2 linked regions of the Caenorhabditis elegans genome follow. The protein of the gene in region 1 interacts with the protein of each later gene in a biochemical or structural test. Each region holds a gene or a part of one and is shown on either strand. Other genes may lie near its edges. The genes, in order: ubc-16 and rbx-1.

Region 1 (4,289 bases):
GGCCACAAAGAAGAAAAGGGAAAATTACATGGAACATATTATCTGAATTTAAGCCTTGGTATCCTGGTCCTGCCACGCGCGCAACTTTTCCGTTACAGTACCCGCAAATATTTCGCAATAATCCAATATAATTTCTTATGTATTTTTACTGTTTTGCTGCTAATTTTCAATTCCGGCAAATCGCCGACTTGCCGGAAATTTTAATTCCGGCAGTGTGCCGTTTTTCCGGGAAAATCGTTTGCCGCCCACCCTTGTATCGAAATATTATCAAATGTGGGTACTGTAGCTAAAAAAGGTTCGCTCGTGCCAGGACCCGTGGGCTAAGATATTTAAATTTTTAAAAACCAGTAATAATTATATTCTTATGGAATAGGGACCCCAATATGCAAAATGTTAAGGTACGTGGTCTCAAAAGAAAATTCTAAAAAAGGAGTACTGTGCCTCTGGCCGTTTCAAGACCATGTACCGTACTTGCTGCGTGAGAATTATCGAGATAATATCCAATTAATTGTTGTTGTTGTTTTTTAATAATTAAAAAGATGCATATTTTATTTACAAAATTCACAAACAAAAGAAAACGTATCAGAAAACACTGATGGCATGGGAGACAAGATGAGGAAGGAAGAAGGTGTGTATAATTGAAGGTGGCATGTTGAATGGGATTATTGATGATGAAAAAAGGCAAAAAAGAGGGAGAAGAGTAATTGCGGAAAAAAAAAATAATTTTATAGGTCAATTATTTTCTGGTATCACGTATTCGGCGGGAGAACATAGCAAAGAAGATTGGAGGGGTCCTTCAAACACTGTCGTCTGAAAAAAAATTGTGTTTAATTTGTTTCGAATTTTCGAATTAAGTATTAAAACTGACCATGGAACCACCAGCGAGTCTTACTCGGATTCTTACTGCACGTTCTCACATAAATAGCGTCATCAATTGGATGTTTCTTCTCTTTTGACGATGAAAGCATTGACAGAATCGAGAGGCACACGGATTGAACACTGAGAGCAGGTGTCCAATCATCTGATAGGATAGACAGGCAGATATGTCCATTTGAGTAGATGTGCGGGTGGGCTGGGATAGTTTCGCCGACGAACATCACCTGGAAAAGTGATGATTTGGGTGCATATTGAACAATGTTATACTATTAGGGTGATCGATAAGTTTTTTCGTTTGTTCTCAGTTTTTATTTTTTTCTCAAATATTATTTTGTAATTACATAGTAATTAGTGAGTAGTGAAAAATTTATAAATACCAACCAATTCCGACAACTTCCAGACTGCACCATCTGCCTTCGAGTGGTCGAGAAGAAAAAATAATTTTTTCGATTTTTTTGGTTTTTGGGTTGAATGGAAATGTTAGTGTTTCATGCAGTTGGAAAACTTTTGTATAACGCAGATTAAAAATAGTTGGCAACGAAAAGCACTCCTTGATATCTTAAATTTGAGAAGGTACCGAAAATTAGTTGCAAAAATTACAATTTTCTCTTCAGAGTGGTATATCTTAGACTGCGTCACAGATTTCTATTTATGAACAACTACAAAAATATTAACCAATTATTTCTACACATTAATAATAATAATTTCAAAACCGGCAATTGTCGAAATTGCCGAAATTTTCCAATACCGGCAATTGTCAAAATTTCCAAAACCGACAAAATTGTGAAATTTGCCGAAAATTTCCAAAACCGGAAATTATCGAAATTGCCGAAATTTTCCAAAACCGGCAATTATCGAAATTGCCGAAAATTTCCAAAACCGGCAATTGTCAAAATTGCCGAAATTTTCCAAAACCGGCAATTGTCAAAATTACCGAAAATTTCCCAAACCGACAAAATTGTCGAAATTGCCGAAAATTTCCAAAACCGGCAATTATCGAAATTGCCGAAATTTTCCAAAACCGGAAATTGTCGAAATTGCCGAAAATTTCCAATATATACATATACGAATTCGGAGTCCGAATGCGTATTTAAGCCAAAAAGTACCAAATGGATTTATATTTTATGATGATTTTTTGGCTTAATTACGCGTTTAAAGACGAAAAAATTGTCCCAACATCAATTTGAGCAAGATTGTATTTTTTAATTCGTTATGTTTATTGTATTTAACTTTCAGAAAATATAACATTCCACCAATCTGGACACCAAAAAAGAGTCTCTAGTTAGTCCAATTTTTCACGAAAATAAATTTGTTCTTACCTCCGGAGAATTGAACGGGTACTGAGGACCAAACGTGAATTGCAGCATAAAAACTTCACCCGCATACAATGTTCCCTCGGCGCCGACGACTCCTATTTTCCATTGTCTAAATTAAAATTCGTATTAATTTCAAATTAAAACTGAAAAAATCGATCGTACTTCAAATCGTTACTTGTTGATGTATTATCCACTAAAAGCCCTTCTGGAGCCTCACTTTTCAGTTGAGCCAGCTCTTTCATCAGTCGTCTTGTCGCAGCATCTGACATTCCTGATGAGTGGAGGCGTCTGAAATTAGGGGTATTATGTGTTGATTCACGCAGAATTCGTATACTTCTCGAGGAGAAGAGAATTTTACAGTTTTTTTGGCTTAAATTATTGATTTTTAATCAATAATTTCTGCTCATAATTTCCAATTATAGAAAGAATAAAATCGAAAAAGCTACGTACGACTTTGCGCTTTTAATTGGCGTTTTCCTCTAAAATAAAAAAACCGAAAATTTTAGTTTTCTCATTTTCAGGTTTTTAATTTTTTGAAGAAAAAACACTGTTTTTCGAAATGAAACGTATTCCCTGAAGATAATTGTTTATGTCACACGAAAGCTGCCTAAAAAGTATAAAAAATAATTCGAAATAAAGAATGCGAATTGACGCATTTTCAACAGAACAAAGATGAAAAAACGATTGAAAAAAGTTATTTTTAAACGAAATTTTAATTACAGCATTTCAGAAGATCATCAGAGTCAAAATCATAGTTCGAAAACCCGGTAAAATAAATTAAAATGAAATTATTTAATTATTTCTTCAGTGAGATATCATGAAACTGTCTTGCTAACAAGTGTACAACACTCGGTGGTCCATCTTCTCTTGATAATAGTTCCAGCCTCGCTTTCTTTTTACTATATTCCGATCCTTCTTCCTCTTTCATTTCCACGTCATCTGAAGCTTCTGTCTCCTGAAGCATATGAAGCACTCCGTCTTGCAGTTTGACACGTGTCAGTTCCGAAGGTTGAGGTGGAGCTGGAAGCTTCCCACGGATCATTTGGAATTGGTCATCGACAACTTCTCGACCATCACGCAGATATTTTCTGGAAAAAAGGAGAAAAAATATACAAATTTAAAACTTAATTCCGATTTGACTAACTTAAAATCCTTGCAAATATCCGATAATTCTTCGATTTGTCTCTCTTGTAAAATTCGAACACTGTCGCGAGCCTGAAAAACATAGAAAAATATAGATTTTATTTCATTTTTAAAACACTTTTCTACCTGAACTGGCCGGAATTCATTGATCAAATGATGCATATTAATGAATATCGTGTGTAAATCGACCATTTTCTCCTCTCTCATTGGGTGATCGGGAGCGCGAATCAGAATTTCGACCAAATCGAAAAATGCGACTATGGCGGACCTGTTCAACTTCTTCATCTCGGTTTTCCAATTATTTTTGTTCTTGTAGAGCTCAGCAACACCGGCGTTTTTCAGAGGGCTGTAAATGAATGTTTTATTCTAGTTTTTCCCGCGTATTGAAAAAGGTTTTTGCAAAATAGGTGGGAAAATTCGGCTAGACTCAGCATGTTTTTGGTTTTTATATAGCCGCTAAAATTTCTTACGCGATGACATCATCTTCCAATCGATATTCCTCTCCGTACACCTTGAATTCCGTAAGTGGATGCGGCGGAGGTGGTGCCGAACCTGAATCTTGTTAAAGTGATGTATGAGAAATCTGTTAGAGAAATTGCGTTTTATTTCTAACAAAAAAAAATACTGTTTGCTGAATTAAAAACTGCTAGTTTCAAAATTTCAAAATTCAAACTCCTTACCATTATTGATTCGATCACTTGTATACGCCGATGCGTACTCTGGAGGATTTGGGAACGGGCTGACTGTTTGTGCACCAAAACCAGGAAGCATTTTAAATGAAAACTGAAAAAAATGAGTTGAAAACGATGAAAACAGAGCTGAAAAGGAAGGGAAGTATAATAATAAAAGAAAGAAAAATGAAAAACGTGAGAGTACGGAGGAGCGCAGTTGCATTATTTTTGAAAATTTGTTTTTTTTTCTTTTTTCTTTTTTCTATTTATTTTTGTTCTTAAA
Region 2 (3,554 bases), on another chromosome or scaffold:
TGTGATCGCGGTGAGATATCAGGTGATTATAAACTATATAGTTTAAGTAAGCCCAAAGCCCAATAGCGGCCTGAATATACCTCGTTTTTAAAGAAACGTTTTAAGTTACTTCAGAATGAAAAAAAAACAGTCTAGAAGTATTGGGAATTAAATTTTCGAGTGGCAGTTATATTAAAAAAAATAAACCGATGTGTATAATTTTCATTGAGTTTTGCCCTACTTTGTGAACTTCAACACTTCTAAATATGTATGAACAATTTTGTGCAATTTGGCATTCGGAGGAACTACTGTATCTGAAATCGTGGCAGGACCCAGCCAAGAGAAGTAGTGTGCGCCTTTAAAGTGATACTTCACTTTTCATGAAGTTAAGAATATCCGCAATTTAGCAACGTCGATTATTGAACAATAAACGTTTGTAGACAGTTTTAAAAGCAGAAAATTATCTTGGTCTATATTAATGAGAGAACTCTACAAAAATCAGTATCCAAAATTTAAAAAAAACTTTGGCACAGAAACGAACAAGCAATCGTAATAATCAATTATTACGGAAAGGAATACGAAGAAGCGGCGAGAAATGTGCTGCAATTCGGTTTTGAACGTTTTAGCCGAATTGCAAATAAATTACGCGAGACGAGACCTCCTCCTTTTGCTCCGGCGGCTTGAACGGTGCCCGCAACCTGAACCTAAACAGCCTAAGCACATAAACGGCACGAGAATTGTCTCGTTGAGAATTATGAGACCAGAGGACACAGTTCATATTTATATTTTTAGCGGAGAAAAATTAAATATTCAAGCGAGGAAGGATGATTTTAGAAGGTCAGAAGGGATTGGAGATTTGAATAAACAAATGAAAAGTGTCAGATCACATAGAGACTAACACGTCTGGATTTTAATGTGCTTTTTTTTGGGACGAATACATATTCACAAAAGGAAATAGAAGAAAAATCAGTGAATACAAGTAAAAAAGTGTGAAGAAACTGCCCGGGCGGTTGGCAGAAGAATGAAGATCGATTAGTGTCCGTACTTTTGGAATTCCCACTCACGATTGTCCAATGGGCATACCTGAAAAGATAGAATTAGAAAATGTGTAAGCTTTTTGAAATGCTAGTTACGAGTACTTAGTAATTGAAAAAAATTAAATTTTCAAAAGTTGTTTAACAAAAATGCATGCGGCAGGCTTCTGTTCCGCTTTGACATTTGAATAAATATCATTTTTTCAAAAATAAGCACGTTTAAAAGCAACCTACCTGTCGTGTCTTCAGCCAACGAGAAATGCAATGGAAGTGGAAAGCGTGATTACAGTTTCCCCATGCAACGGTACACTCATCCTTGAGCCCGGCTGCTTGATTCGCTTGGCACTCGATGCACAGATCCATGATGTGATTGCGGCAAATAGCGCAGTTGTCGACCTGAATGTCCCAGGCCCAAAGTGCGACGGCACTCCATTTCTTGACCTTAAATTGCACTATGTTTGTTAAAGCATGTAACATTGTATCTGTGTTACCTCGAAACGCTTCTTAACTGTCTGATTTGTGGCCTCCTCGACCTCCATAGCTGTGCTGTCGCTTGCTTGGGCCATTTCTGGAAAAAATACAAATGAGAATAACAGTAATCATTTCAAAATAAGAGCGCAAAAGTAGCATTGATGATATAATGAAATACTTAATATTGAACATGTTTATGCATACTATAATACTATAAGCCTAAACTAAATAGAGGATATGATTGATAAAATTGTTGTATCAGATTTTATGAAAAATTGTACCCTAGAACAAGTGATTCACGAACCTAATACAACATTGTTGTACAAAGCCGCCGATAGAAAATGAGGAAACATGAAGGACTTGACATTATTGCTAATATGTATTGAAAAAGGAGATACGCTGTTGTAAAATAAATAAAATGAAATCAGACTGAGCAACACTGCCGAAATTCTTTCGAAAGAATCATCAAAAACGCTTGTCTGCACACACCAGACGCTACGCGCATTTGCGTACACCGTACTCACCTATTTTCTGTCTTCACGCTTTCGCTTTCTTTTTAAAATTTACTCGTCGCGTCTTATTTCTTGCCGAAACGAACAAAGAAGAACAGGTTAAAAAGAAAAATTGTATTTAACAAAAATAAACCGTATCAGTTAGTATTTTAACAGTAATTCTAACAATTGGGACGATGAGAAAACAACTTTTAAATCGTTTCAAGATATTTATTCTGGCAAATCCGTGTATCCAATTCTCTTTTTCTTTCGCTCCGGAAAACATTTTTCAGTAATTTCTTTCAGCTTGTTTCCTAGATTTTTTCGATAGTCAATAACCATGTCGCAGTCGATGGTTCCGTCGGGTCTCTCGTGATGGCTTTTTATGTGCTTGATCACATCAGATTTTGCAATTGTCTGCCATTTTCTGTGACAGATTCCGCACTCGTAGAGCTCATATTTTCCGTGACGCGTATTTGCATGATACACCATGCTTGATCTTTGTTTGGAAACAACGTCTCCACAAAGAGAACATTGAATTTGTTGCTTCGGCTTGATCGGACCACCGCCATCAGATGCTCCCTCGAATGAAGGACCGGCTCCACGTTCTTCTTCGTGACGTGCCAGAGTTTCGTCTGAATTAAATCCAAATGAGTGGGAATCATTATTATGTGTAAGTTTACCTAGAAAGGCATGATAAGCATTATCTACGAAGACAACAGGAGAAGATGACTGAATAGGTGTGCCAGTTGCTTCTGAGTTTTCGACTTTGACTCTGTTCTCCACTGTGCTTGACACCGCATCGCTGATTTTCCCTTCAATCCGCATAGATCGACTCATTGCAATGCACCGTTCGAGCTTTTGGGTCAGTTCCTTCTTTTTCATACTCAACTCCGGTGTGTAGCGATATTTTATCTGCAATTTAAATTATTGTTGAATTTTTTTTCTGCGTCTCTCAACATTGGAGACTTACAGAAAATTCGGTGAGTCCATGATCATTCATACAGTGACTGACAAGGGCGAATTCCGTTGGAAACTTAGCGTACTTACATTTTTCGCATCTAAAATAGTAAAGCTACGTTCACCACATATTAAAAGTTAAAGACTTACTCATATGGGCATATGTTAAGATGATCACTAGCAATGTGTGCTTCGAGATCTTCCAGTGTGTTGTAGGCCTCAGTTTGAACGCAATCTAGACATCCCAGTAGTCGGTTCATTTTTTGAATGTAATAAATATATTCTGCAAATTTAGTAATATAGATTTAGAAGCGAACGGTTAACAAAATGTGTTCGAAATCAACTGAAGACGCGTGGAAAAAGGAAAAGAATGGTGAGAAGAAGAAGGAAGGAAAATGGAGAGAAGGGGGTGGTTTTGTGTGTGTGAGGAGGAGAAGAAGGCCGGGCGGGCAATGGCCAGTCTCTTCCTCCTTTCTCCTTCCTTTCTTCTCCTCTTTCTTCTTTTTTCTTCTTCTCATCGCTCGGTTCGCGCTACATTGAAACGGAGAGAGAAAGGGAAAGAGAGAGGACAAAAATGCGACGACTCGTCTTCTTCCTATCTCTTTCTCTCTGCTGTGTG

Evidence for each region.
Region 2: of the proteins of ubc-16 (region 1) and rbx-1, one has a biochemical effect on the other in vitro, tested with the Caenorhabditis elegans proteins (one study listed by BioGRID).

What each region holds. Positions count from the first base shown.
Region 1 is NC_003279.8:14,820,241-14,824,529, reverse strand, and holds ubc-16 (Ubiquitin-conjugating enzyme E2 W), read right to left. Parts: upstream 2,481-4,289; 5' UTR 2,462-2,480; coding exon 2,355-2,461; intron 2,302-2,354; coding exon 2,196-2,301; intron 1,101-2,195; coding exon 869-1,100; intron 811-868; coding exon 797-810; 3' UTR 540-796; downstream 1-539. Other genes in the region: let-49 (Mediator of RNA polymerase II transcription subunit 7), read right to left, coding at 2,989-3,280, 3,337-3,407, 3,462-3,681, 3,806-3,893, 4,016-4,106. UniProt on the Caenorhabditis elegans protein: Accepts ubiquitin from the E1 complex and catalyzes its covalent attachment to other proteins. Together with ubc-18, required for the ubiquitination of membranous organelles, and the removal of paternal mitochondria from early embryos.
Region 2 is NC_003283.11:9,688,942-9,692,495, forward strand, and holds rbx-1 (RING-box protein 1), read right to left. Parts: upstream 1,582-3,554; 5' UTR 1,580-1,581; coding exon 1,505-1,579; intron 1,455-1,504; coding exon 1,248-1,454; intron 1,063-1,247; coding exon 1,012-1,062; 3' UTR 745-1,011; downstream 1-744. Other genes in the region: ztf-9 (C2H2-type domain-containing protein), read right to left, coding at 2,207-2,610, 2,659-2,890, 2,949-3,036, 3,086-3,195. UniProt on the Caenorhabditis elegans protein: Component of the SCF (SKP1-CUL1-F-box protein) E3 ubiquitin ligase complex, which mediates the ubiquitination and subsequent proteasomal degradation of target proteins.